Linked DNA regions of Saccharomyces cerevisiae S288C. The protein of the gene in region 2 binds, or shares a complex with, the protein of the main gene of each other region. Each region holds a gene or a part of one and is shown on either strand. Other genes may lie near its edges. The genes, in order: RRP46, RRP6, LRP1 and RRP40. A codon is read from its position in the direction of its gene.

What was found.
Region 1: RRP6 (region 2) and RRP46 share a complex: the UniProt entries of both Saccharomyces cerevisiae proteins name them as parts of the RNA exosome complex.
Region 3: the proteins of RRP6 (region 2) and LRP1 are in contact, whole or in part, in a crystal structure (PDB 4WFC), measured with the Saccharomyces cerevisiae proteins. Residues at the interface, in NP_014643.1 of Saccharomyces cerevisiae: Asp7 (codon at 4,436), Val8 (codon at 4,433), Leu9 (codon at 4,430), Leu10 (codon at 4,427), Arg12 (codon at 4,421), Val13 (codon at 4,418), Ile14 (codon at 4,415), Asn15 (codon at 4,412), Val16 (codon at 4,409), Val17 (codon at 4,406), Ala19 (codon at 4,400), Ala20 (codon at 4,397), Ser21 (codon at 4,394), Ser22 (codon at 4,391), Leu23 (codon at 4,388), Ala24 (codon at 4,385), Gln26 (codon at 4,379), Tyr31 (codon at 4,364), Lys32 (codon at 4,361), Phe38 (codon at 4,343), Asp41 (codon at 4,334), Leu42 (codon at 4,331), Lys43 (codon at 4,328), Lys45 (codon at 4,322), Ala46 (codon at 4,319), Lys48 (codon at 4,313), Leu49 (codon at 4,310), Ala50 (codon at 4,307), Met52 (codon at 4,301), Ala53 (codon at 4,298); in NP_011949.1 of Saccharomyces cerevisiae: Asp3 (codon at 4,687), Ile4 (codon at 4,690), Lys6 (codon at 4,696), Ile7 (codon at 4,699), Tyr10 (codon at 4,708), Val11 (codon at 4,711), Ser13 (codon at 4,717), Phe14 (codon at 4,720), Ser15 (codon at 4,723), Ala17 (codon at 4,729), Leu18 (codon at 4,732), Glu20 (codon at 4,738), Leu21 (codon at 4,741), Lys22 (codon at 4,744), Glu24 (codon at 4,750), Ile25 (codon at 4,753), Glu26 (codon at 4,756), Leu28 (codon at 4,762), Thr29 (codon at 4,765), Lys31 (codon at 4,771), Ser32 (codon at 4,774), Leu33 (codon at 4,777), Asp34 (codon at 4,780), Leu37 (codon at 4,789), Glu43 (codon at 4,807), Arg44 (codon at 4,810), Lys46 (codon at 4,816), Leu47 (codon at 4,819), Ile50 (codon at 4,828), Asn51 (codon at 4,831).
Region 4: RRP6 (region 2) and RRP40 share a complex: the UniProt entries of both Saccharomyces cerevisiae proteins name them as parts of the RNA exosome complex.

The regions. Positions count from the first base shown.
Region 1 is NC_001139.9:672,647-679,990, reverse strand, and holds RRP46 (exosome non-catalytic core subunit RRP46), read left to right. Parts: upstream 1-3,648; coding exon 3,649-4,320; downstream 4,321-7,344. Other genes in the region: ASK10 (Ask10p), read right to left, coding at 1-1,296; thiamine transporter TPC1, read right to left, coding at 2,426-3,370; VAS1 (valine--tRNA ligase), read right to left, coding at 4,491-7,344. UniProt on the Saccharomyces cerevisiae protein: Non-catalytic component of the RNA exosome complex which has 3'->5' exoribonuclease activity and participates in a multitude of cellular RNA processing and degradation events.
Region 2 is NC_001147.6:322,115-331,285, reverse strand, and holds RRP6 (exosome nuclease subunit RRP6), read right to left. Parts: upstream 4,455-9,171; coding exon 2,253-4,454; downstream 1-2,252. Other genes in the region: ALG6 (dolichyl-P-Glc:Man(9)GlcNAc(2)-PP-dolichol alpha-1,3-glucosyltransferase), read right to left, coding at 235-1,869; PHO80 (Pho80p), read right to left, coding at 5,156-6,037; IZH2 (PAQR-type receptor), read left to right, coding at 6,922-7,875; palmitoyltransferase PFA4, read left to right, coding at 8,292-9,171. UniProt on the Saccharomyces cerevisiae protein: Nuclear-specific catalytic component of the RNA exosome complex which has 3'->5' exoribonuclease activity and participates in a multitude of cellular RNA processing and degradation events.
Region 3 is NC_001140.6:262,858-270,333, forward strand, and holds LRP1 (Lrp1p), read left to right. Parts: upstream 1-4,680; coding exon 4,681-5,235; downstream 5,236-7,476. Other genes in the region: LAM4 (Lam4p), read right to left, coding at 1-3,981; putative serine/threonine protein kinase KSP1, read right to left, coding at 5,602-7,476. UniProt on the Saccharomyces cerevisiae protein: Required for exosome-dependent processing of pre-rRNA and small nucleolar RNA (snRNA) precursors. Involved in processing of 35S pre-rRNA at the A0, A1 and A2 sites. Required for activity of RRP6 in 7S pre-rRNA processing.
Region 4 is NC_001147.6:53,063-56,780, reverse strand, and holds RRP40 (exosome non-catalytic core subunit RRP40), read right to left. Parts: upstream 1,224-3,718; coding exon 501-1,223; downstream 1-500. Other genes in the region: tRNA methyltransferase PPM2, read right to left, coding at 1-329; lumazine synthase RIB4, read left to right, coding at 1,677-2,186; NOP8 (Nop8p), read right to left, coding at 2,229-3,683. UniProt on the Saccharomyces cerevisiae protein: Non-catalytic component of the RNA exosome complex which has 3'->5' exoribonuclease activity and participates in a multitude of cellular RNA processing and degradation events.

The DNA.
Region 1 (7,344 bases), on a different chromosome or scaffold from region 2:
TATACCATGTTGTAGTTCTTGGCACATATTTTTGATCATTAGACGAGCTTCGGAGTCAATTAAAGCAGAATAACGCAACAAAGCATGCTGGATTTTGGTGTATATAATTTTTTCTAATTGCAAACCTGAACTCTGTAAATTGATGAACGCTTCTTGCAAGTAAGTTTCTTCGGCAACTTGACGTTTGAGTTGTAAGTCTAGTTGCAGTTTCAAAAGATATGGATCATGTTTTGGATCCAATTTATGTGGCTTCTTATTAGTAGGAGATGCTCTATCGTTGCCAATACCATGCGCGTTCATGAATTTTACAGCTGCGATGTATTTTTTCAATAGTTGACTTGTTAGCTGAATATGTGCTCCGATGTTTGTTTTGAAATCACCATGAAGGTCCTTAATTTCCGTAATTTTATATCTTAAATCTTTTCTCAATTCCTCCAATTTAGGAATGACGGTGGACGTAATCTCTTTAGAGATCTTAAATTGCTGGTTAGCCAACGAAAGATGGTACTTCTTCAAAATGACCTGGATGTCTTGAATCGAGCCTGAACCGAACTTAACAAAACCGGATGCGGCAGATGTATTGTCCGACTCTGTGGTCTGGACAGGCTTGTATTCATGAGGCGCCAAACTCATTTTACTTTCATCTGTGGGAGCCTGCACTGCATTTTCCTGCTGTTCCTGTTGCATTTGCATCTGAAATTGTTCGCTGTCAGTCAGGCCAACTTTCTTCTGCGCAGGCTGCGCTTTCTTAGGGCCTCTAGGAGCCGTTGTGAATGGATCCGTAATGGTATTTGTGGTTTCATCAATATCAGTCAAAAATGGAAATTTCACAGATCCTTTCAGTTGGTAATTGATCCGTGCGAACTGTTCTTGCGCATACGCGACTTCCCTCAAGTAAATCACTAACCCTTTCAGAATTTTTTTCCATTTATAAAACCTGTCTACAAGGATGTCGGTGGGATACTCCTTAACAAACTGCCCATCGATAGCTTCATCACCTGCAAGGGGCTTCTTCGTTTCCGTAGTAGAGGTTGGCTGAGCCTTTGGTATAGGGACGTTTATGAAGTAGGGAGATCTCTCATCTGTTTCAGGCAAAATAAACTCCTTTGCCTGATTGTTTGCCACTATGGAGGAAACACTTTCGTTCAAGGTCATCGAATCAGGTAAGATGTCCATCAAGTACTGCGAGCTCTTCGAGTGGATGGAGGAGGCGTCATCGCCGCCACCACCGCCAGATGGCTTATTGCCCATCGGCGTGAGCGTTTGCGAAGGTCTGGAACTAAAGTAATCAGACATTAGTTTGAGCCCAGTTTTGTCCTATTTCTAATGCACTCTCGTTGTGTTTGGTAGAAGAGGTGTTAAAAAACAGAAATTTTCGGTCGTTATAGTATAGATAGTTTAGTTTGTAACTACGCTGTCTTTCCTTATTCTTGTACGCTTCGCCCTAGTTCCTGTGAAAAAAGCTTTCTGTAGTAGCGTTATTTTTAGATTTCAAGATAGGAGAAGAATGGTTATTTTCGACAATGAAGATGAAGAAGGGCAGCGCTGTTTGAAGGGAAAGGGAATGCAAGACTAGGAAATATGGATTCAGCTAGCACATTTATGAGTAAGGGGAGGTGTTATTCAGTGCAAAAACTAGTGAAAAAAAAAAATAGGAAAAAAGATAAAGAGATGACAGAAAGCTAAACGCTTACAAGAAAAATGATGGATCGTAAACACGCAATCCAACAAATCGGCGGTGATGGTGATGATGAATCATCTCCGGAGGTTTGAAACTTAGAATCTGACATTTTTTCCCGCTTATTTTTGCGATTTTTTTTTTTGGTAGGATCAGGCGAGGTTGAACATCTCCCACGTTTCTCATTTCTTGGCTATTAAGGAGCCAAGAAATGAGAAAAGGCGAAAAAAAAAAAAAAAAAAGAAAAAAAAAAGTGTAAGTATGCCACATCTAAGAAGGGTGGCTACCACAAGGGTGCAGAGATTGCAGCAGTCCTTGCTTTCTTCAATTTTACTACTTCTTGTTACTCCTAGTCCGTGTGCTTGCGCAGATGTAAGTTGTGTTGAAACAACAAGCAGATGTAGTGGTCCCTGACGCTGGTTCCATCGGAAGATCCGATTCATTGTTTCCTTCTCTCCCTTCCCCGCTGACTGAGCGGAAAAAAAGATAAAAAAAAGAAGAAAAACCGGTGCGGGGCAGCAGGCAACTAAGAAAAACCGGAAAAAGGGTTGGCGTCAGATCGCTAGCAACGAGATTCCTCTTTTTTTTTCGATTTTTTGTTATTAGAGGAAGACGGCGCGACTGAGTCAGGCCGTAATCGGAATGGAAAACCGGGCGGCTACCGATCTTTGTCAGTGAAGAATATAAGATATGATGATTTCGTATATGTATATGAGTGTGTACATGTGACAAAAAAGATTGGAAACTTTAGTACATCCGCAAATAATGGATGGCAGTTTCATACCCCCAGAAACTCACAAAAGTGGTGGGTATTGTCTTGGAAAGGGCCACCAGAATACCTCTGTAAAGCGAACTCACACCTTCTTGTTTCAAAATCTGTAAACCGATTCTTGCGAATCCGTACCCTTTATAAGAACCGTATACAGACGAATGACGGGAGAACTTTTCCAGATGCTTCGAATTCATGAACTGCATTCGCCTACGGATCGTTTCGAGGGGGAAAGTAATGATCTTAGCAATGACGCCGCCAATGGTACCAGCGCTGTGATTTAAAGTAGCCAGTTCCCATTTTTTATGCGCGGCGGTCGTTTTTTCGTTTTCGTCACAGTATATCCTGATTGTTTCGTATGTTCCGAACATTATAGATGCGGTTAGAGTTATGGTTGTCATTGACGCGATGGAGCCCTTGAAAAATCCGGGGAGACCTTCTAGTTTCCAGATATCACGCACTTCTCTCGTGATGCTCATTGAGTGCATCTGGTTGTTGGCAACTAGTCGGGTCCGTAAAACATCGAACGGGTAGGAAACGATGGAACTGGTTATGCCAGCAAAGGCTCCGACAACAAGACTATGTAAGCGCGCCTCTAGTCCAAATGGAGTTAAATATCTATTAAAAAGGGAGTATGAACTAAACTGCGCTGAGCCATAGGTAACGTACAGCAAAGAACCGGGTATGTTACCCTTCCAAAAGGACCGGATGCCTTCGTTCTTTATCATGCTTCTGGCCACCTCCATGACCTGACTTCCGAAGGGCTTCAGCCCATTTGCAGGGGTCAATTGCAATCTGATCTTAATGGTATCCATGGGAGCAGTTATGCTACGGGCAAGCAGCCCGGATACGGCGCCAGCCAACAAAGTTTTCCACGCGGCCACATTTTGCCCTTTTCTTAACGAGTCCTCCTCTTTGAACATATCAACATTTATGTACTTTGAATGGTTTATATAAAGCTCCAGACTATGCCAAGTTAAAGGTGACAAAATAGCGCCTTTTCTTCATAAAGACTATTATGTACCTCTCTTTTTCTTTTTACTACTTTTTTTTTCCTTTTAAGCGCATCGGATTGTGGAAAAAAGAGTGGAAAATTTGTTAGATGAACCAGTTAAGATGCATAAAATATCTCTGCATATATGGTAATAACAAGGAGCCCAATACCAAGAATAGATTAGATTCTGCTGAAAAAAAAAAAAAAATGAGCGTCCAAGCAGAAATAGGGATATTAGATCATGTAGATGGTTCATCTGAATTCGTATCACAAGACACCAAGGTTATTTGTTCTGTAACAGGCCCTATTGAACCAAAAGCAAGACAAGAACTGCCTACACAATTAGCATTAGAAATTATTGTACGTCCCGCGAAAGGGGTGGCCACAACAAGAGAGAAGGTACTCGAAGATAAATTACGGGCAGTTCTGACCCCACTCATCACTCGTCATTGTTACCCAAGACAGCTCTGCCAGATAACTTGTCAAATTCTGGAATCTGGTGAAGATGAAGCCGAATTCTCCCTGAGAGAGCTAAGTTGTTGTATAAATGCGGCATTTTTGGCTTTAGTTGATGCAGGAATTGCCTTAAATAGTATGTGCGCAAGCATCCCTATTGCAATAATCAAAGACACTAGTGATATCATTGTCGATCCCACTGCCGAGCAATTGAAGATTTCGCTCTCTGTCCACACTTTAGCTCTGGAGTTCGTCAATGGCGGTAAAGTCGTGAAAAACGTTTTATTGTTAGACAGCAATGGTGATTTTAATGAAGATCAATTGTTCAGTTTACTGGAGCTGGGTGAGCAAAAGTGTCAAGAACTTGTCACAAATATAAGAAGAATAATACAGGACAATATATCACCTCGTCTAGTTGTATAGCCATTATAGATTATAATATACCACAACATGCTATGTCGTATGCCGGAGACTACCTCTTATATTTGGAAATAGTTATTATTCAATGTTCTAAAATTCTTAACATTTTCGTTGTTACATATACATAGCATATATATATATATATATTACATTAATTTTTATCTACCTTCAATCTACAATTTCAAACGCTTCAAGTTTTCAATAGTAGCTTCCAAACCTTCGATTTCGGCAACAGTGTTATCCAGCTTGCTTTTATTGGCTTCCTTGGCCTGTGTATTAGCCTTTGTTTCGTAATCCTTACTGTTAATGGTTTGTTCAATACCGTTCTTGGATTTTTTAGCCTTTTCAAGTTTCTTTTGAACTTTCGCAATTTCAGCATCAATATCAACGTGTCCCTTGACGAGAAGATGTACATTGACTTCTGGGTTAACAGATTGCAATACGCAACCTTCTGGAATTTCGGAAGCATCACGAACAACAGTGACTTCGTCGATGGCCTTGATCAACGAGACAATAGAATCTTTCTGATCTTCAGCAGTTTTGAAGTATTCCTCGTGGTTAGATTCAACGAAAACCTTACCATTCTTCAAAATATTGTACTCAGATAACAAGGAACGAGCTTCTTTGGTAATGTTCAAGACCAAGTCGTAAGCATTGGCCGATTTGACATCATCGTACTCAGATACGTAAACTGGATAAGAAGCTTTTACAATTGAGGCAGCCTTCTCAGTGGAACGCTTTGGAAGTCTTTGCCACATTTCTTCAGAAATGAATGGCATGAATGGATGGATTAATTTCAAAGCGTTGTCCAGCAAGATATACAATGTATCCTTTGCGGACTTCTTTTCAATAGCAGAGCCTTCTTGAATCAAGTATTTAGAGTTCTCGATGTAAACATCACAAATCAAATACCAGAATTCGTAAATACTGCTAGTGGACGTCAAGAAGTCACGTTTATCTAGAGCTTCATTGACAATTTTCGAGGTTTCAGTCAGCTTGTGCAAGATCCATTTTTCAACCAAGGATTCGTTACCTGATAGACCTTCAGTGGCAGGTGGTTGATAATCGTCACCGAGTCTCATCAATGCAAACTTGGTAGCTTGGTAGATTTTGTTACAGAACTTTCTGTAACCTTCGACACGTAAGATATCTAAGTTAATATCACGACCACCAGTGGTATAAGCACATAATGCAAACCTCATAGCATCGGTACCACATTGAGGAATACCGTTAGGGTAGGATTCCTTTTGACCGATCTTAGCTTTTTCAACTTCTCTTGGATCTAAGTTACCTTGTAATAATTTTGCATGCAAATCATCCAACTTAATACCAGTAATAACGTCTAGTGGGTCAATAACATTACCTAAAGATTTAGACATCTTACGACCTTGAGCGTCACGGACTAAAGAGTGGCAGAAAACTTCCTTGAATGGAACTGAACCGGTCAATTTTAAGCCCAATAGAATCATTCTAGTAACCCAGAAGAAAAGAATATCCCAACCAGTTTCCAACATAGAAAAGGGGTAAAAAGTTTCCATGTCTTTAGTCTTCTCTGGCCAACCCAAAGTGGAGAAAGGCCACAAACCGGACGAGAACCAGGTGTCTAAAACATCTTCATCTTGTTCCAGAGTAAATTTGGAATTAGGGTATTTGGCAGCAGCCTTCTTTTCAGCTTCCTCCATGCTCCTACCAGCAACCCAATAGTCACCATCAATTCTATCGTGTTCTTCGCCTTCGATATTAATAAAGTAAACTGGACAACGATGACCCCACCATAATTGTCTGGAAATACACCAATCTTGGATGTTACCCAACCAATGGAAATATTCAGCCTCAGAAGATTTGGGGGTGATGGTAATTTGACCATCCCTAACAACCTTAATAGCATCTTTGGCCATTTCACTTTGAGAAACCCACCATTGAGGTTTCAATAAAGGTTCAATAATGTCACCAGATCTGGAACAAGTTGGAATGGTCATTTCATTATCTTCTTGGCCAACGTATAGGTTCTTTTCCTTCAGCTGCTCAATGACCTTCTTTCTGGCATCAAACCTCTTCATGCCTTGCCACTCTGGACCACACTCCTCGTTTAATAAACCATCGTCAGTCAAAATATTGATGAATTCCAAATTGTGACGCTTACCGGTATTGTAATCGTTTTGGTCATGGGCTGGAGTGATCTTAACGGCACCAGTACCGAATTCCATGTCAACAGCTTCCTTGTCGGTGATAATTGGAATTTTTCTTGGTAAGAAAGGATGTTGGATGAACTTACCATGCAAGTGTTTGTAACGGTCATCATCAGGATGAACTGCAACGGCAGTATCACCAAATATAGTTTCAGGTCTAGTTGTAGCAATGATCAGTTTTTCATCGCTACCGATAACTGGATAAGCAAATGATGTTAAAACACCAAATTCAACCTTTTCATCATAGCCTGGGACTGATAAAAGCGTTCTACTTTTAACGTCCTTATTTTCGACTTCCAAATTAGAGATAGCGGTATTCAATTTAACAGACCAATTAACTAATCTGGACGCACGATAAATAACACCTTCATCATGTAGTCTAACAAAAGCTTCTTCAACAGACTTGGTCAATTCTGGACTCAAAGTGAAAGCTTCGCGGCTCCAATCATAAGAAGCCCCCAATTTTTGAATTTGGTTCTTAATTCTGCTATGGTATTCCTCTTTCCATTCCCAGACCTTACCAACAAAAGCTTCTCTTCCATAGTCATGTCTAGTCTTTCTGTCCTTAGCCCAGATTTGCTTCTCCACAACGGACTGAGTAGCAATACCAGCATGGTCGAAACCTGGCAAGAATAAGACAGTTTTACCTTTCATTCTGTTATATCTGATCAAAGAATCTTGGATAGCAATAGTCAAAGCATGACCAATATGTAAGGCACCAGTGACGTTTGGTGGAGGTGCTGGAATGCAAAATACACCTTCTGGTTTAACCTTACCATCAGCGGTAAACTCAGGTTCAAAAACACCAGTCTTGATCCACCAGTCATACCAAGAACTT
Region 2 (9,171 bases):
CTCGGAAGACGCGAACGGTGGCTACTCCAGGAGAGAAAATAAGCGGAAAAGCTAACAATACTCACTGCCAAATGTAGTAGTTTTGCCTTACCATTATCTGTACCTTATTTAGATCAAATTATAGTGCATTTTTCAAATATTTTTAAGAGTTGAAATAATCTTTACTTGTAGAGCACATCTTTTATATCAGTTGCGTCTGACTGACATTGTACAGTTATATAAGTTAAAATGTAACTACAAGTCCTTCATGGATTTGCTACCGGAAGTGAATATCTTGTAATAAGACCATAGCCAAAATATGCTAAAGCAAATGAACCCAACAGCACAGTTCAACAACACCCACAAGTCTGGATATTTCGATGGAGGTGCTACAAATTGATCTAAGAAATGATAAAAGCCCATAGCAATATACGTTCCTATGATAAAACTTTTCCAAACCACATTATATGGCAGTAAGCTTCTTCTTCTATAGTCGCTATTGATGCTGCTGATAGAAGGGCCAGGAGTTAAAGATTTTGGCAAGAACCTTGGTGTAATAAAACTGAAATTTCCAATCAGCCAATTGCTTAGTAAGAAAGATACGGCATACTGTAAATGAAGACCGTCCTTTTTCAACAAAGGCCATAGCGTAAACAAAGCCACATTGTTTATCCAACTTACAAGAGATAGAACATTCCAATCAGTAGAGGAGTAGAGTAGTGTAATAGGCAAAAGTGGGATGAGGATAGTTTTCTCATGTACTTGAAAGCTAAAAAGAAAAAAGGACATCGAACATGCGATTAACACGTATGGGAGAAGATGCTTTTTGGGATGAAGTAATGTCATTATCATGGCTGGTAAGAAACCAATCACGGTGGCAATCAATGAATATAGCTGGAGTTGTTGTATAGTGAATCTTTCCTTGTATTTTACAAACACGTTCGTAACGCACCAGAAGTTAGCAACCTTGTCTTCGAAGATGCCCCTGGCAAAAGGGAATATCCTGTGAATACATTGGTGAATATTCTTTAATCCTCCTCCCAAGAAATATAATGGCGCAAATATTATAGCAAAAGTTGCGAGTGTTGCAAACGCAATAACCGTCAATCTAGCTATGTTAAATTTGGGGAACAGCAATGATCGACTTAATAGATAAGCAAAAAAAATCGGTGCATAATACAATGCCATTTGTTTAAAACAAATGGATAGGACAAAACAAACGGCCGCCATAGCATAATACTCATCTAATAAGTTATTTATGGCATAAGCAGTAAGGCCAAGCATGACTGAATTATATTGAAAGTGCCCATGGTCAATGAGCATTAATGAAGGTTGGAACAAAATCGCTGATGCCGCAATAGATTGTCCTATGGGCGACTGGTTTCGATATCTACCAAGCCACTTAGTAAAGTATATTACTGCAGGAAAGTAAAACAATATGTCGCTAATGATGACAGTAGAACGCATATATGTTTTCAGGCCATTATCGGGGGATTCAAAGCCACGTGACTTTTCTAGTGCAAACCAAGATGGATTGAAAAAAGATCCAATTAGGCCCAGAAGGTACGAATGAAATGCTGTTAATGGTGGATAGTCCAATCCCCAGTATTGCAAATCATACCAGTACCACTTAGAAAGCGGTAAATGTTGCGTAATTTCCATCCAATGTCTCTGAGCCTCAAAATCGCCGTACAGCGGTGGACTGCCTTTCCCAGAATATGGACCAAGTCCAATTGTGCACCTCAGTATTACAGCACATACAAAGATAATATATTCTGGCAGCCATTGGTTCCCCACTGGCCTAAACGGATACAAAAAATCATACATTGGAGAAGCATAAAATGATTCTTCTGCTGGTTTGTTCACCAGTAACCTTTTGCCAATGGCCATTTTCTATGCGAAGCCTGATGTGAAGAAAAGAATTCCTGACACCGTCCATTCGGAGTGCCATTGCTTTAACATGAGCAAATCCCTTTTCTAACTTGGAAGTATTGTTCTCGCTGAGTATTTAACACGCACAATATTCGAGCGAAGTATAATCCTGCAAAAATTCAACTATAGATTTCCGGATAACCTCCGACGTTGAAATTATATAAAACTTGTACTTTTCATAATAAAGGAGATGAAGGGAAACACAGAAACAAAAAAAGAGAAAATGGTGTGCATGGGGGAGCCATAACTCCATGACACAGATATTCGATTAGATGAATTTAGAGGTCTTAAATGAAAATTACCATAATTTATAAATAAAAAAATACGCTTGTTTTACATAATCACCTTTTAAATGACAGATTCTTACCTTTGGCGGCAGGCCTCCTCTTTTTAGCTGCCCTTGGTCCATTACTATCGCTAGATGATGGGTCGAATCTCCTTTTCTTTTGTTGTCTATTATTTTGGCCAGGCTTATTAGATAAGATATTCGGAATTTTTGAATAATCCACAGCATCTTTTTCCGTTACACCTTTTTCCTTTGCTGGTTGTTTCTTTTGAATGTTTTTCTTCTTTAAAACAACAAGATCATCAAGATTATCAATCTCAGGCGAGTGATTAGGTGCGCTCGCAGGGTCTACTGTCTTAATCTCCTCTAGCTTGACAGGAACAACGAGAGGTTTCTCTATTTCGAATATGATATCCTCCAAGTTTGCTAAGGCAGACTTGAAATTTTGTGCTCGGATCCTGATATCTTCCGTCTTCACTTTATTTGGCAAGCCGTCTTTGCTATATGCAATATCATGCTCCTCACGTGGTAAAATCTTACCCAACAGAATAGAAGAATTAGTGACAGGCTTGGCTCGGCTCTTGGAAATATTGCTGTTGCACAACACCGAAAACCTTTCCATAACATCACGGATTTGAGGAACACTTATAGTCTCCAACAATATTCCGTCTGCTTTGGTCTCGGAAGATGGAATGGGAGTAGCTTCCTCATTGGTGTTCTTGATGTTTCGTAATGCATCTCTTATCAAATTAGCTAATAGTTTTGCATTCTGGCGGACATGTTCAGTTACGCCATTGGTCAAAGAAACAACACCTATGACATCAGTAGGTGTATATGCGACAAGTGCAGCCAATAACTGGTTTGGCATAACAAATCGTGGCGATTCATCGTCTCTTCTTGCAATAAGATCTCTCCATTGGTATAGCTCTCTTACTAATACTTCCCTCTCAGGTGGTATGTTGTACTGATACATCAATATTTTCCAAGGACTCTCTTTTTCGATTGGAGAATAAACTTCTGAAGAAGGTGTCAGTGGTCTGTACTTTGAATATTCAAACCTTCTTTTTGCGACATTTCTTGATTCATAAAGAACACCTGCTAACTTATTAGACTCGATAAGTTTGTTTCTCAACTGGTCATATATATTTAGTAAAAAGTGAGTATCTGCTCTAGCATATGCCGTCATGGGTTTTGAAAGCGGTCTTATACGCCAGTCAGCCAACTGATATTTCTTTGAAGTTTTAAAATTGGCAAAATTCTCCAAAAGATAGGCCAAACTATGTCTAGGAAGACCGATTGCTTTAGACGCATGGTAAGTATCGAAGAGACCAACGACATACAAACCTAAATCTCGCTGAAGCCAAATAATATCCATGAATGCACCGTGAAAAACTTTCACAATTGAAGGGTTCGTAAACACTTCGTTCAGAATATGTAAATTTTCGCGAAGTTTTAGAGTATCAACTAAATAATCCCTTTCCCTTGTACTAATTTGCATGAGGCAAACAATACCATAGTATGACCTATAATCGTGATGCTCAAGATCAACGGCAATCTCTTTCGTATTTTTCAAGTCCTCCAACATTGATTCGAGTTCTGTACTTGTATCTACCCAAATTGGTACCGAATCATCCCAGGATTTTGAGGGAATCTCCTCTCTAATTTGGAGAATTTCTGGACTATACTCTTGATGATCAATCTCATATTCATAAGGATGGGGGTAGTGACTGGGGTTATTTTCATCATCATCAACCAACCTCAAACTCTCAGAGAGTGGCTTCAAAGCATTTGGTTTTTCCTTCAATAAAGGTATGAACGGATGACTTTCGCTGTTATCAATTGGACTTTTAAATTTCAACTGAGGTTTTTCGACTCTTTTGGTGGGAGAAAAATTCTTTCCTGAAAATTCGCCTAAATACTGAAGATCGGAACCTCTTGACTTTGAGTTTATTGCACAATTCAGCTTATCCAGCGAATGGTCTGACATTTCTAACAAATTATCCATGATGTTTCCAAAGTTGTTCCACAAGTCAGAAATGTCCTCTTCTTTAAGTTCAAATGATTCATGATGCTCATCAATAGAGAGGATTATTTCATTCGCCATATCCGCAAGTTTGTCTGCTTTTGATTTCAGATCTTTACTAAATCCCCTGTCTAAATTCTTGTAAAAGTCTACATCTTGACTGGCTAACGATGATGCTGCTCTCACCACATTTATCACCCTAGATAAAAGTACATCCGGATTTTCAGAAGTCATAACGCACTTATTGGGTGCTTATAAGCTGTTTGTTGTTCCTATTTCGTCTATCTTCAGATGAACATTAATATTCATTACTGAAAAATTTTCCGATGCCCTCATATTTTTGGGTAAAATATTATTAATAATATCACGTGAACTTATTTTGCATTTAAAAAAAAGTAAAAACTATTTGCTAAAATATATTTTTTTAATTTTTAAAAATAATGTTTTAATTATTTAATGTATATGACTTCCGAAAAATATATATTTGATAACAAAAATTATTATATGCGATATTGAAATTTCATTGTTCAGTATTTTTCCACTAAAACATGTGAAAGTAATTTTCATTATTGAACATGAAATGGTTCTGTCAAGGAAGTTTTGAAACTAGTATCTGAAAAGAACAGTGATGATATGAATCTACATGTATTTATCAAGTTAATTGAAATGGAGTTCTCAAGCTCATCTCGAAGTGTTTTCTGTCGCTTATGCTCTTATGATGCAAAAAGGCTGAAATAGAACATATCCTTCTTTAGCAAAAGAGGGAAGTTATTCTCTTATATACTACCTGAAATCTTGAACTTTTTAGCCAAATGATGGCCAATTGCTTATTATACACACACAGATATATATATATATATATATATATATGTACAAATGGAAAGTTTTAATTTTGCTCAATCATGATTGCTTTCATAATACCCCACGAAAAATCATTAATCTGGCTTTGATCGCTTGTTATAGATATGTGCGTCCTTTGCCTCAGAATATCGCTTTTGTGAAGAGTGAGAATTGGGTGATGACGACCCCTTTAGTTGAGTAGTTTGGGAGCCACTTTCACTCACTATATCAATATTTGGCGGGAGAACATAATCAACCTTTCTACTCTTATCAGGTGAAGCGTTAAAGGAACCCACCAGCTGAACTATTCTTCGATAGTATTTATCTAGAACATTATATCCACTTTTTGGACGATTAACGTAAGAATAAGAATCCAAATCGAGAGACCCTAATGCGTTTTTATCTATGACAAACTTTTTCTGTTTTTGCTCTATACTACATAACGTAATGTTATGATCCCGCGGAATGATTCTGTAGTTTACTCTCTTTAAAAAATCGTTCTCCAGTATATTCAATTCGTGACATCGTACTCCTCCAACTTTTGCATAATGGGCGTTTGTTGAGAACGAATCACATAAGCCTTTTGTTGCGACTGTGGTGGCTGTTAATAAAAACCTATGGGCAGTCAACGAATTAAGCGTAAAATCAGGATACACAGTTTGCAATAAATCGATATAATAGAGTGATGTCATAAGCACACAATGTTCTAAAGAGGAAAACTTTGTCAGTCGTATGAAATAGTTGAAGATTGATATGTTTGGAGGAATCTTAGAATGGTATCGTGTTAAAGTAATTTGGTCATCAGATTTCTTTGTTGCTGAATTTTCATTGATTGCTATCAGCGATACTAACATTCGTGATATGAGCACCACTAGGTCAGTTCTAGAGCATTTATTAAAATCAGCGGGCAGAATTACTTTTGGTATCCCTTGATCCTCATGTATATTTTCGGAACGTTCTCCTGATGTGCTTTCCATGATTTCTATGAGTCTCCAAAGGATATCCTCGTCTTATGATAGCTTGCAGACTTAAATTTGATAAACACTTATAAAAAGAAAGGTTATCTGCCTCTCGAAGTATATAACTGATCACTGGAACGCTATTGGAAACAATACGGATGATAAAATTGGAATATAAATAATCTTAAGAAGAAAAAAAAAACAGGTAGGAGCTATAATCGGCTAAAGAGAAAAGAAGAAAAGTTGCAGTGTATACGGATGAGCACTTTCAAAGTAATATGGCTATTTATGATGGCTTGGGGCATTAGATTAAAGGAAAGCCAATATACGCTGAATAACTTTCTGAAGTTTGAATCCTTTATTCATCAAATGAAGAAGAGATCCTAGGATGAGTATGGAGACTGATTGTTTGTTAAAATCTTATAACCCGTATGTGTTTCCAAGGTGGTTTACAGAAGCCTCAGGCTCTCACCTACGGGTTAAAATCTGACTATGGTACAAGCACGTTCGCCTCATTCATATTTTCCATAGAAAGCGGACTCAAATTTTGAAACCGCATTTTAGAAAGAAAAACTCGATAGCATGTTAAATATTTTAAAGAATACCATAATTCGTTAAAAATACAAAAGTGTACTGATATCGTACTTCCTCTAGGGTAGCACTACCTTGTTTAGGCCAGAAATTAAGTAACAAACTTTTCTTGTTTGCTTCGAGTATACTAAAAAACAGACACTCGGGGTTAATAGGCGGTCTTCCGTTGTTGAGCTCTTTTTTTTTTAGAAATCCAACATCTCTTCGAATAGTAGATTAGAAATAGTATTTATGTCAGCGTTCCTTGAGCCAAATGTACTAAATTTCCCGTCGTTTTAATTATGCTGCATGTTGGAGAAGAATCATTCCAAATGTCAACTTTATTAGAAAGGACTAAGAGTGTGCAAGAGCTGAAGAAGAGAGCTGCAGGGAAAACATCCGCAAATCCCGCAGAGGTCGCTAAAGCTAAAAAAGTACTAAGAAGGCTATATAGTTGGGATGAAATTCCGGAATGGCAAAGAGACAATGATTTTATTTTACATGGATACGTGAAAGAAACTAGTAGCTTCATTGAAACTTTTAAAAGTTTGTTTTATTTGCATAATGAAAGTGTCAATATTTATTCACATTTAATTCCTGCTCTCGGGTTCTTCACTGTACTGTTGCTAGATAAATCTACTATCAAAGTGTTTGCAACAACTACATGGCTAGATCATATGGTAATCGACCTCTTTTATTCGGGGGCGTTTGCATGTTTAATATTGAGTAGCTCCTTTCATTGTCTAAAGAGTCACTCCTTAAGAATTGCTACCTTAGGAAATAAGTTGGACTACCTTGGTATTTGTATATTGATTGTTACGTCAATGGTCAGTATTTTGTACTACGGCTATTTTGAGAAATTTTCCCTATTTTGCCTATTTGCGCTTATTACCGTTAGCTTTGGGATCGCGTGTAGTATTGTGTCACTAAAAGATAAGTTTCGGAAAAGAGAGTGGAGACCTTACAGAGCTGGGCTATTTGTTTGTTTTGGTTTATCCTCAATTATTCCAATATTCAGCGGCCTTTACTGCTATAGTTTTTCAGAAATTTGGACCCAAATTCAGCTCTTTTGGGTATTACTTGGGGGTGTCCTATATATAATTGGCGCTGTTCTTTATGGAATGCGGTTTCCTGAAAAGATTTGCCCCGGTAAATTTGATATTTGGGGTCATTCTCACCAACTTTTCCATTTTCTAGTTGTTATTGCGGCATTGTGCCACTTGAGAGGTTTATTAAATAGTTATGAGTTAGTCCATATAAAGATGGAGAACGGGATTGTCTCCTAGATATTTGGAAAAAACGTAGGATTTATATAGAAAGTAGTTTTAAAGTTAAAATAATAAAATGGTTCTTATATGTGAGAAGAGAATAAAGAAAAAGGCCCTTACAATAATATGTTCAAATATAGAAAAGAAATTCCCAGATAGAAGGGAAGCAGGATTTGTGCACTTTCTCATATGAAATATACACGACTTTAGCGTCTCAGAGGAACATTTTTCTTACTAAGAGCTCTCAATTTAAAATACGGCTTATTTCCACTATTTATTGGCTGTCTCATGTATATTTTTATTATCCTGTTAAACCTACCTCTCTTACTACGCGCTTATGAAAAATAGCGGATCTGAGATACGATAATTATCGTCCCTACATTGTGGTGATGGTGTATAACATGAATTTTAAAAACTGAGTTGATCGTTAAACCATGCCAGTAAAGTTAAGGTGGCCTTGGTTAGGAATTGCTATACCAACGTTTCTGATTTCATTTATAGGCTATGGTGCACACTACTTTATTTTATCCAATTTCTTGTCAGTTCCGAAACAAATAACATTTGAGTTCTGTTTGTCAATGATATGGCTCTCCTATTACTTGGCCATCTGCACAAATCCAGGAAGGCCTTTGCCCAACTACAAACCACCCCCTGATATCTGGCGGAATTTCTGTAAGAAGTGCCAAAGTTATAAGCCAGAACGTTCACATCATTGTAAAACCTGCAATCAATGCGTCCTAATGATGGATCATCATTGTCCGTGGACGATGAATTGCGTCGGCTTTGCAAACTATCCGCATTTCCTTAGATTCTTATTTTGGATCATAGTGACGACTAGTGTTTTATTTTGCATACAAGCTAAGCGGATATATTTTATTTGGCAACAAAGGCACTTGCCTGGCTACTTCTTCAAAAAATCAGAACTGATTTTCTTAACAATATCGAGTCCTTTAAATTCTTTTGTCCTACTAACGATAACAATTCTTTTCCTACGATGTTTATTCAATCAAATCTTGAATGGAAGATCTCAAATTGAGTCGTGGGATATGGATCGGCTAGAATCTTTGTTCAACTCCGGAAGATTAACTCAGAAATTAATTGATAATACTTGGAGAATATATCCAGAGTCGAGGTCGTTTCAAAATAAAAAGGATGCTGAGGAACACTTGACAAAAAAAAGGCCACGTTTTGATGAACTTGTAAATTTCCCTTACGATTTTGATTTGTACACTAATGCATTACTGTACCTTGGTCCCATTCATTTATGGTTATGGCCATATGGTGTTCCTACGGGAGATGGGAACAATTTTCCAA
Region 3 (7,476 bases), on a different chromosome or scaffold from region 2:
TAGTTGCATTTCTGTTATTTTGATACTTTCTGATAATTGCTGCAATTTGTGTTCGTCATCGTTTCTCAACATAGCACGACCTCGAGGTGATATTGCACTCCCTCTGTTACTGATCCAATCCCAAATATCGCTTTCCCTTCCTACAATAGGACTCTTATCCCTTGCGTAATTTACATTTTCTCTCTTCTTCTTAGATGATATGGCGTTTTCATATGAGTTATACAGTGTGCCGAAACTGGGCACGTAATTATATTCTTGACCATCAATCAGCAGCCTTCCTGGCTTGATGATTTGAAGATTATTTTTTTCTTGAAACACGTGAAGCCGAGGAGACCAGAAAAGCATAATGGTCAACCCCAAGATCAAGAATAGTTTTTGAGGACTCAGCAATTTGTTCATAAAAATTTCTGAACTAAAATTATTCTGAACGAAATCCAAAATATGAGTTAAAATGTCTTTATTATCATCGCTCTTACGGCTTTCGGAACTTTTCTGTTCAACCTTACTATGGAAAGGCCTATGTTTATCATGACTCTTCATTACTTTCTTCACCGGTTTTTTGCTTTTTGCCCTGCTAATAATGTCTCTTAACTCGGATAGCATGTAATCGACAGAAACCTTCTGACCCTCAACAGATCCTTTCTCAATTGCACCTTTCAAAAATGATTTACTTGTCCAGTTGATTTTTGTTATAACGGTCATATTCGTGGTGTCATGCTGCCCCCAGAATAGAAAGATTTTACTTTCTACTGCAAAATTGCTACCAGAGGGGACGTCTGGAGTTTTAGTTGTTTGTGTCACCAAAACATAGTTATTGATATCCATGTGTTCAATAGACTCGGTTAGTAAACATTTTGTTTGCTTAGGTCCGATAGAATTGTTCAATTTCTTCGTGTACTCATAGTGTCTTGAACCTCCTTCAACCAACGAAGGCGTGAATTTTGGTATCGTTTCCACATTGACATTATTCTTATCTCTAGTGATAACTTTCTGCATATACTCTGTATTCGATCCAAATAGCAATTGGACCACGGTCCCTAATGGAGCTGGTATATTCTCATTTTCCCTTATAATAGAGTCATCCTTATCCTTTTGAATATCAGGCTCGGTAGGTGCATGTGAGCTAGGTTCCATTTTCGGTAAAGTTGATACTGTAACAGTGTTCTCCTTCGAAGACCTTTTCCTTTTGGTAGCAGATCTTGTTAAAATATTACCAAGCTCCTCCACCAATATCTTTGTTGCATCCGTTACACCATCAAATGTACCCTTTTCAATAGGACTTTTGATCAAGCTTTTACCTGTCCATTCAACAGAGACATACAGTTTTAGTTTTGTTTCATTGTTGTTTGCCCATGATAAAAGATAAACTGTTCTCACATAAAATGAATTTCCAGAAGGAACATCCGGAGTTTTTGTTGTTTGCAAGACTTGAACATACTCCTCTAAGTTAAAGTGTTGAATGGTTTCAGTTATCATGCATTTAGTTTTACCGGGTCCAATGGCACCTGGTGTTGTTTTTACGTAGGAATAATCTCTCTTTTTACCTTCAGAAACCGTGGGTGAATCAACGAGAACAGGGATTGGCGAAATATCACTATTCTTTTGCGCTTTTAAAATGGCCATAATATAACTGACATCTTTCCCGAATAATATATTGACAACCCGCCCTAACGAAGCGTGTATTGTTGATTCGTTAACTAATTTTTCATTGGGCGCTGGTTTGTATACTGTTTCTGTGGGTGAGTGAATTTTTGGACCTAGTGGTGGAATTCCTGTTCCATAAGGGGTGTCTGTTTGTAGAGGCATGGGTAAATCTTCCGGCTTTCCTATGCTGACGCTTGATGTCATGTCGGTAGAATCAGATATGTTATTGCTATTATCGTAAAGATCGTCATCATCATCTCCATAATCATCGTAATCATCATCGTAATCGTCATTTTCATCATCACTGATAGAATTGGAGCTGCTATTAGTGTTATTACTGTTGCTACGAAACCTCTTTCCCAAAATTATTTGATTCCATACTTCAGTAATTAAATCATATGTAGCATCTCTTGAAGTGAAAGAGGCAAACGTGTATTTTGTGTGTAAAGTGTCTATAACGATCCCATTAGGGAATATTCCTGCTGTGGCCCTTTTCTCTATTTGAACGATTGTCTTGAACGGTATAAAAACGGTACTTACCCAACCAAGGATGTTCGAATAAAATCCAATATGTTGATCAGAAATATACATTCTGCCTTGCAAAAGGATATCTCTTGACAAAGCACAACTATGGTCTAAAATCAACCTTTCATTGGGGCTGACACCAGAGTCCTTGAATATTGCATGGAATTCTGCATCTTTCTTTTCGCTCGCGTATTCGACTCCCTTTATTCTAATGCTGGATTGTCTACCATTTTCCTCCGATGGCTCAATGATATTTACGGGGGTAGATGAAAAGCTTTTACTAGAACTTCTCCTCAATCCCGAAGATGGACGACCGTTGGACATACTAGGTCTCGGTATGATGGTCGATGCAATATCAGTGCTGTTTTTTACTTTGTTTAGCGAATATTTCAGTGCCGTCGAAGGTAGTACTTTCATTCCCATGCTAATGCTTCCGGGGGAAAATGACCTCCTGTTAAGAAACTTCTTGGACATTTCCCTAGGTTCGCGGTCTTCATACTCCGGGTCGTTATTCGTTAGGCCATTAGAGGAGTTGAAGGACAATCTTTTTTTACAATCTTGTAAAACGTCGCTACTGGTGTTTTGTTTATCTGCCATTGCGCTAATCATTGATTTGGCTCTTCTTCTAGGCTTGACTCCATCTGTTGTAGAGGAACTGACTACTGACCATTTGGAAGGAACAGTTTTTCTTTCCAAATTACTTTGTTGTACCGGGCCTCTGCTGTCAAGGTGATCCGCCTCTGGCAGCGATTCTGCTGACATTGCCTCTAACCCTTCAAGAGTAGCTTGAGAATCATCGAAGTGCTCTAATTTTAAGTTTCCAACTCCGGGGGTAGGCTTATCATGAGAGTGCCTGATGGGTTCGAAAACCACTTTCCTGGCCATATCATCCGTCATCTTTCTAGTGTCATCTAATGATGTATCATCTCCTGAGATAGCATTAGAGCTTGAATGTGAGTTCGAGTGAATATGGCCTTTCAAATTTCCAAATGCCAATCTAGATAATGATGATGGTTTACTTTTACTTCCTGCTTCCGTTGTATTAAGCTGTTGGTTACTTGGAGTTGATGATTTGGATGCTGCAAGAATATTGTCTAAATTTTTCAAAAATGGGCCATCGCTTTCTTTTGTCGATGAAGTGTTTTTATTGTTAGTGCTATTTTCGGAAAGGGCTCCTGATATATTAGATGAGTTTTTTTTCCTGTCCTTTGGTTCATTCCTGGAAATTGTTCCATTGTCAGCGTCTTGTACGTTTATTTTGGGAATGTGGCTTACGGCATTATGGGCGAAGGAAAGAAACGTTTCAAAGGCGGTATGTTCATCATGGCCGTCTGGAGTTTTTTCCTCAGCTTGATTGCTGGACCCTTCTCGTTTCCCACTTTGCAGTTTTTCCTTTTCTAATGCCTGGACGGATAAACTTGGTACAGAATTTGAATTCGAGTTACCATCCTGAAAGCGACCCTTCAATGAACCTGCCGTCAAATTCGTGTTTGTCTTTTCAAGCCTGTTTGTTTCCATGGGATCTATAACGATTGGAATATTGAATACACCTTGGCTATGCGCTAAGGAAGATGCCGCCGCCTTTTGAGATCCTTTTGCAGGAGATTCCGTGAAAGTTTCGGGCTTAAGTAAAGACGGAATATCCGGATTTCCTCCTACTCTTCTGAATCGCTCAGCACTGGCTGTTGTGCTAACATTCTCTCCTGTAGTATTATTTAAAAAATTACGATCCTTCTTGTGCTTACGTTTGACTCCAATTGTCCTTAAAAAGGCAGTGCCCCAATGGTGCTTCTTTTTTGAATCTCTAGTCATTACTGTATATTTTCAACACTATCCATGGAGAGTAAGAACCACACACAGTAGCAATAATTTAATATCAATGGCAATAGCAACGAAATTACAGTAGATACCGTGAGCCAGCAGAAACAGATTGATATTTCGTATTTCAAGAAGGCAGAATCATTCAACCACCTACCGTCCCCCAGGAGGACAGATCCCAACGAGGGACCTTTGCGCCCAATTCTACTCCTGCAAGGGTTTCACTTAGAAATGCTTTTGCCAAGGTAAAGGACCCCTAAGACTAGAATGAACTACGCCGGTCCGTCCGGCCGTCATACTCCGTGGAAATTTACTTCTAAAAGGAGAAACAGCGATCTTTGCCGCATAAAGCCAGCCACTACTGGCGTGGAAAGATTTTTAGATTAGAAGACAATACAAAGCGGCAACGTCATAACCTTGGTATTTATTGGGCAAGCATTTTCATATCAGCGTACATACACCAGCAATGGGAATGTAAAGAAGAGTCGTTACTAGCATATTTTCTATTCATGCGGGTACCCAACATGTCACGTTTCACGAATTCTCGTGCAGTTTTTCAGCGATGAGCTAAGGCAGATGGTTATGGACTGTGCCTTCTGTAGTCTGTGGAAGAAAAAACTGGTTAACAGCCTACAGTAGAAATCGATTAATATAAACATATATCTAGCAACGTAACGGAGTATTAGATCAGTAATGGAAGATATCGAAAAGATAAAACCATACGTTAGGAGTTTTTCAAAGGCGTTAGACGAGCTGAAACCAGAAATAGAGAAACTAACGTCGAAGTCACTGGATGAACAGCTGTTGCTATTATCTGATGAGAGGGCTAAATTAGAACTAATTAATCGTTACGCGTATGTATTGAGTTCTCTGATGTTTGCTAATATGAAAGTCCTAGGCGTCAAAGATATGTCTCCTATACTCGGCGAACTGAAAAGAGTAAAATCATACATGGATAAGGCTAAACAATACGATAATAGGATAACCAAATCCAACGAAAAATCGCAGGCAGAGCAAGAAAAAGCTAAGAATATCATTTCCAATGTTTTGGACGGTAATAAAAACCAATTCGAGCCCTCTATAAGCAGGAGCAACTTTCAAGGGAAGCATACGAAATTTGAAAACGATGAACTGGCAGAGAGTACAACGACTAAGATTATTGACAGTACCGATCATATAAGGAAAGCAAGTAGTAAGAAAAGTAAAAGATTGGATAAAGTTGGAAAAAAGAAAGGAGGGAAGAAGTAGAGGTCGACGTATACTGGTACATGAGTGAAAAAATGATTAAAGGTGATGTGAGAGCACAAATGCAAAAATGCTTATAGGGTTTATATACTTTTATAATAACAATAAGAACTCGTTGAAGTAACTAATATGTGTATATGCTATTCTTGTAGTTGGCAGTGAACACTTTTGTGTGAATTGACGTTATATAAGACTGTAGAAATATCTAAGAAAAGAGAGTTTTCATAAAACCCTTCAAGCTTAACTACCAAAAAGCATTCATACTTAGAAGTTGAAATGCACGATGATGCCAAATTGATGAAAAAAGCTAAAAATGCATTTCAGAAGGGAAGAAAATAATAAGCAACATAACAGAGGGAATAGGTGCGCTTAGTCTTGTTGCTGTAAAATTAACCAATTATTCTTGTATTGTTCTAACGATCCGACCATTTCATCCTGAATACTTGTCTTCCTGCCAGCTCCTAATTTTTTATCGTGAGTGGAGCCAGCGAAAGTTTGAGCATAAATTTCATAAGGACCGAAAATTTGCCTTTCATCCGGGGAGGTTGACGAGGATTCGTTGTCACCACCTTCCATTTTGCCATGTGCCATCTTGTCACTTTCTCCTTCGTATTCTTCGTCTTCGAAAATTATGGCGTCATTGTTAGAGTCTGCGAATACGTCTTCATTTTGCAACGCAATCGTAGTGCTTGAATGATTACGAGGTAATAAAGGTTTAGGGAAGCCAACGAAGGAGCTTTTAGCTCCTGGTGAAGAGGACAACTTCTCGAGTGCTTTATTCATATGCAGTGGGTTAGATTCATTAGCACTGGAACGCCTGGAATTGTAAGATCCACCAAAATTAACAGAATTATGCGAAACTGACAACGTGGCCTCGTTACTTGTCTTCATATTCATAGGAGGTACCTGTGTTCCCAAGTTGAAACTCTTCCTATGATGAGGTGGAACATAAACCCCATTTTTAAATTTTTGTTCCATACTGAGTCTACGCTCCTGCTCTAGCTCCTTAGAGTCAGATGAGTGTGAATATCGATTGCCAATATTACCTGTTAAAATTGGATCAATTGGTCCAGAAGATAAATTTAAATGTGCTTCAGATGATGCTGGTGATTTTAGTAAATCTGGTAGTTCATTAGATTCATTATTGTTATTGTTGATATGCAATGATGTTGTCAAAGGAGGTGGAATATATTGTCTATGATATTGATTAGTGGTACTATTGGTGTCGATATGGTTGTTGTTGCCATTGTTATTGTGATTAGTGCTTGCGTGAACAAATACTTCATTATGGCTACCTACCGTTGTATGCGGTAAGTGATCATTTATAGATAAGTTGTCCATACCATTGACGAAATCATGATCACCTTCTTCAAGAGTGAATAAAACGTCGTCTGAATCGTGATCGCCCTCAGAATCCATACTATCCTGAGTGTAGTGTTCCTGGTATGAAGGCTTCCCACCTAAAACGGTAGAGATATCAGGAGCAGTTGATTGCGGAACTCTTAAAAACTGATTCGTTGGGCTTACGTGATGGTTCCTGGCATTTGGTGGAATATAAGCGCCTGGTGAATGTTGAACTGTAGTCGTAGAACCACGCCTTGCATAACCATTTATAGAACTATTGTTGTTATGATTATAGCTCATGTTGTACCTTGAAAGTGGTGACTTACCGGTATAACTGGAGGAACTTGGTCTTCTGTATTTGTTAAAGTTTTTGTTCCAACCCTTTATATAGCTATTACCATTGTTAAAATTATTATAATTACTTCCATGATTGTTATTGCTGTTGTTGTTATTATTGTTGTAATTACGATTCTGTCTGTACTGTTTATTGTTGTTGTTGGAAAACCCCTCCATATACCTGTGCTGGACACTTGGAGGAGTGAAAAAATCTCTGGTGTTGAATTCATCCCTTGCTTTGTAATCGTGGAAAAAATTATTCATGTGTGTATTAGGCGTTGGTATGCCAAGAGGCTTCCTTGATTTTTTCAAAATTTTACTTTTCTTTCTATCTTCGATATTGACTGGTTTGGAAAATTGATTATCAGTTCTTCCGTACTTATTGCGCTTCTTAAATTTGAACTTAGGAGCAGATTTAGCCCTTTCATGAGTAGATAGTGTTGTATTATAACCCTGGTTGAAAAATTTCTGTTGTTGTGTAGACGGTTTTTTAAAGAAGCCGCTTGCAACATTTTGATTTTGAGAGACATCTGACCGTTTCCTTTCATTCACATTATTGAAATT
Region 4 (3,718 bases), 270 kb from region 2:
ACTATCTTTTTATCCTGTGGCGTTTGTTCAATGATGGAGTTCAATCTTGACCTGATGGCAAATAACCTCAACCAATAACCTCTGTTAATACAGGGAGATCTTTTAATTTTCTTAGGAACAAAGAATTTAAAATATTCCAACAGTTTATTATTCTTATCCATTTGGAAATTATTAGCCGAACTCAGTTTTGGCAAATACAATAACTCTACCGATCTTTTAGAAGCAATTGAGGAGTTATTTGTGCCTTGAATCGCCAAATCAGCGTACTTTTTACGTCTTTCTTGTTTGACATTCTTGTTCGTTTGCTTTATAGTGGTCAGATTCTTCATCGTATTAGATATGTGCACTATAGTTGTCGAAATTTTATGGCCATATGTTAGATGTGATGAGATGAGATGAGATGAAACTTTTTTTCCTTCGCTTTTTCAAAGGACATTAAAAAAGGACGTGAAATATTGATGATATCTATGTGTTTATATATTTTAATTATACATGGTAGTCTACTCCTCCTTGACCGTAAGTATTTCTTTAAACTGTCTTTTTGCTATATCCTTGAACGCTGCCGTGTCGTTTTTTTGACAACACTCCATTATGGTTCTATAACAAGCTAAAGTGTTAGATAATTCCTCGCACTTAACCCAGATCTTCCCATTGAGACCAATGGCGACTTCAAACTTGGTATGTGCAGCCAACACTTTTAATAACGGGAAGTCATTATTGAAAAGCAACTGGCGTGCGAAATTCAAATTCACGTCAATGATCATACCATCTTCCAATATCCCGAAACCAGCATCGCGTCCTGTAGTTGAGTCAAAACATTCTATTTCGGCTTCTAGTTCCTTTTCTGCGGTACAAACTCTCGCATACACTAGATCTCCCACTTGCAAAGTTGGCCTGTTTTTCTTTGAAGCATTGGGAAAAGCCATATACGATAGTGAAACACTGGAGGAGAAATTTTGCAACGAAACCTTATAGCTATCTGAAAATGTCCCTATAATGACACCGATTACAAAATCGTTTACAGATGGAATGTATCTCTTACTAGAATAGTCTATATATGCGGTCTGAACACCACTCTTACCCTTAGCGGAAACATGCAAAACACCTGTATTAACAGGTCGTATTTCTTGAGTATTGGGGTCACAATATATGCCAGGGCCCAGTTTAACAGGTGTAGTAGGGTCTACAGGAAAGCTATCACCAGGGAATATGAACGTAGACATCTTGTATGCTCTTGGTTAGTCGAAATGCTGGAGATGAGCTGCTGAAGCATCCGTTTGTGCTGTTGGTTTAATATGCTTCTCTAAACCAAAAAATTTCAGCCGATCAGGTCCGGGTCACACCACTACCCTTACTAGTAAACAATGATGGCTTTCATTAAGGTAACTTTAAGTGAGGTGGATGGAACTAGTTTCCACGAAACTTCATCGAAGAGGTCTGGGGTTCTATGACGTATAATTAAAACTCTGGGAGGTTTTCGGAGGTTCCCGTAGGTCAATTCTTAAGGCTCTATGACATATTCTGGGAGCGGAGATATTTTCGGAGGTCCCCGTTAATAAGAGAAAAGTAGCCATATAAAAGAGAACAATGAAATATTGCCCCAGAGAGTGGGTTCAAAAGCATGAAAAGGAACAGTATAACGCAGTATAACGCAGTATAACGCAGTATAACGCAGTATGGCAGTTAAAGGATTAGGCAAACCAGATCAAGTTTATGACGGTTCCAAAATCAGGGTCGGTATCATTCATGCCCGTTGGAACCGTGTCATTATTGACGCTCTTGTGAAAGGTGCTATTGAAAGAATGGCTTCCCTTGGTGTCGAGGAAAATAACATAATAATTGAAACTGTTCCTGGATCCTATGAATTACCTTGGGGGACAAAAAGGTTTGTTGACAGACAAGCGAAGTTGGGAAAGCCGCTAGATGTTGTAATTCCTATTGGTGTACTTATCAAAGGTAGTACAATGCACTTTGAATACATTTCAGATTCCACCACTCACGCATTGATGAACTTACAAGAAAAAGTCGACATGCCCGTCATTTTTGGCCTCTTAACTTGCATGACTGAAGAACAAGCCCTGGCCAGAGCTGGCATCGATGAAGCGCACTCCATGCACAACCATGGTGAAGATTGGGGTGCTGCAGCAGTGGAAATGGCTGTTAAGTTCGGTAAAAATGCTTTTTGAATAAGCGCAGAGAAATCTATACTATATATGTATATATACTCACTATAGAAGAAGCCCGCTCTTTGATTGTTTCCTCTTACGGTGCTTCAATGCATCTTTCATTTTGCGCCTCATATCACGGGTCCAATTACCTCTGTTAGCCCAGAACTCCTCATCCCAGTTCGATAGCATTGTTTCTCTTCCAGGAGCCCTTACTTTACTCAACTGTGTTTGTCCTACTAAAAATGGCGATTGCAAATGAGGGAAAAACAAGAAATTTTTGTTATCTTTATCTCTAGATACATGTGGTACGGGAGCCGATGTCAAACCTAGGGTGTCAGATGATTTACTTACTTCTTCCTCCAGTTGGTTCACATCAACATCTTTCGCATGATCAATATCATTATCAGAATCTTCAATCAATTTGAATTGTGATACAGGTTCTGCCTCGTTGGGGTTGAATAGGTTTCTTAACGTCTCAGTGTTGCTTATTGTACCTTGACCAATTTCCTTGGTGAAAGTCGGAATAAATTCATTATCCTCCTGCCCGTCGCCCTCGTCCTGTTCTTTCCTTTCCTCTGGTTTTTCTTGTGGTAGGGTGCTCTGGTCCTTCGTCTTATTAACATTCTCGTATTCGGGAGCGTTTACTTCTTTTTCTTCTTCTTCTTCTTCTTCTTCCTCTCCTTTACGTTGCTCTGTCAGAAGTTCCTCGTCCGAATCATTCAACGTCATTGGCTTATCGAAGTCAAAGTCCTTTAATAGGTCATTAAGAATAACATTATTTTTCTCCTTCTCCTCTTCTGACATATTCTCATCGCTGTCCATCTCTCCACTGCAAACGTTTTCATCTTTTGACACTGTTAACTGTTTCAGCCCATTTTTGAATCGAACAGTTTTAACAGCACGACTGTAATCCAATCTATCGACAATGTGGTTGTATCCGTTTTTCCAGAAATTATTTGTAAACTTGTACACAAGGTCATTCAATTCTTTGTTCCTTTCATAACCCCATAATTTAGTCTTATAGCATTTGTAAACTTTCAATGAACCATTGACATTGATCCTGAATGTAATGTTCCTCAATTGACTCCTTTTTCTCGGCGCCTCCCTCATTCTGCCAGCAATAACTTCCTTATGATCTTTCCAACTTTTCGCTACATTTTCCATTTTCTTATAATGTTGCCAATTCTTTTTTTTCATTTTAGCATTTAGTATAATATCTTCTTTAAGGTCCTTTGCATGTTGTACCGCCCAGGTGCTTTCCCAATTCGGCTTTGCTTCATCAACCTTCAAAATGTTCCCTTTAAACTTAACATTATTAAAGCTCTTTCTTAGCTTGTTAAAATCTGCCTCATCATTAAACCTTATATCGATAAATGCAAAGTGGTTGTGTTTTTCAAACTGAAAATCTTGGCAATCACCAAATTTTCCAAATCGATCTAGTAGTTCTGAATAACAATCATCTGCATTATGGAAAATATTTCCGACAAAAATTCTTTTTTGAATTACACTATCCATCGTCGTATATTACCTAGTTCTCACTTCAGGTACAA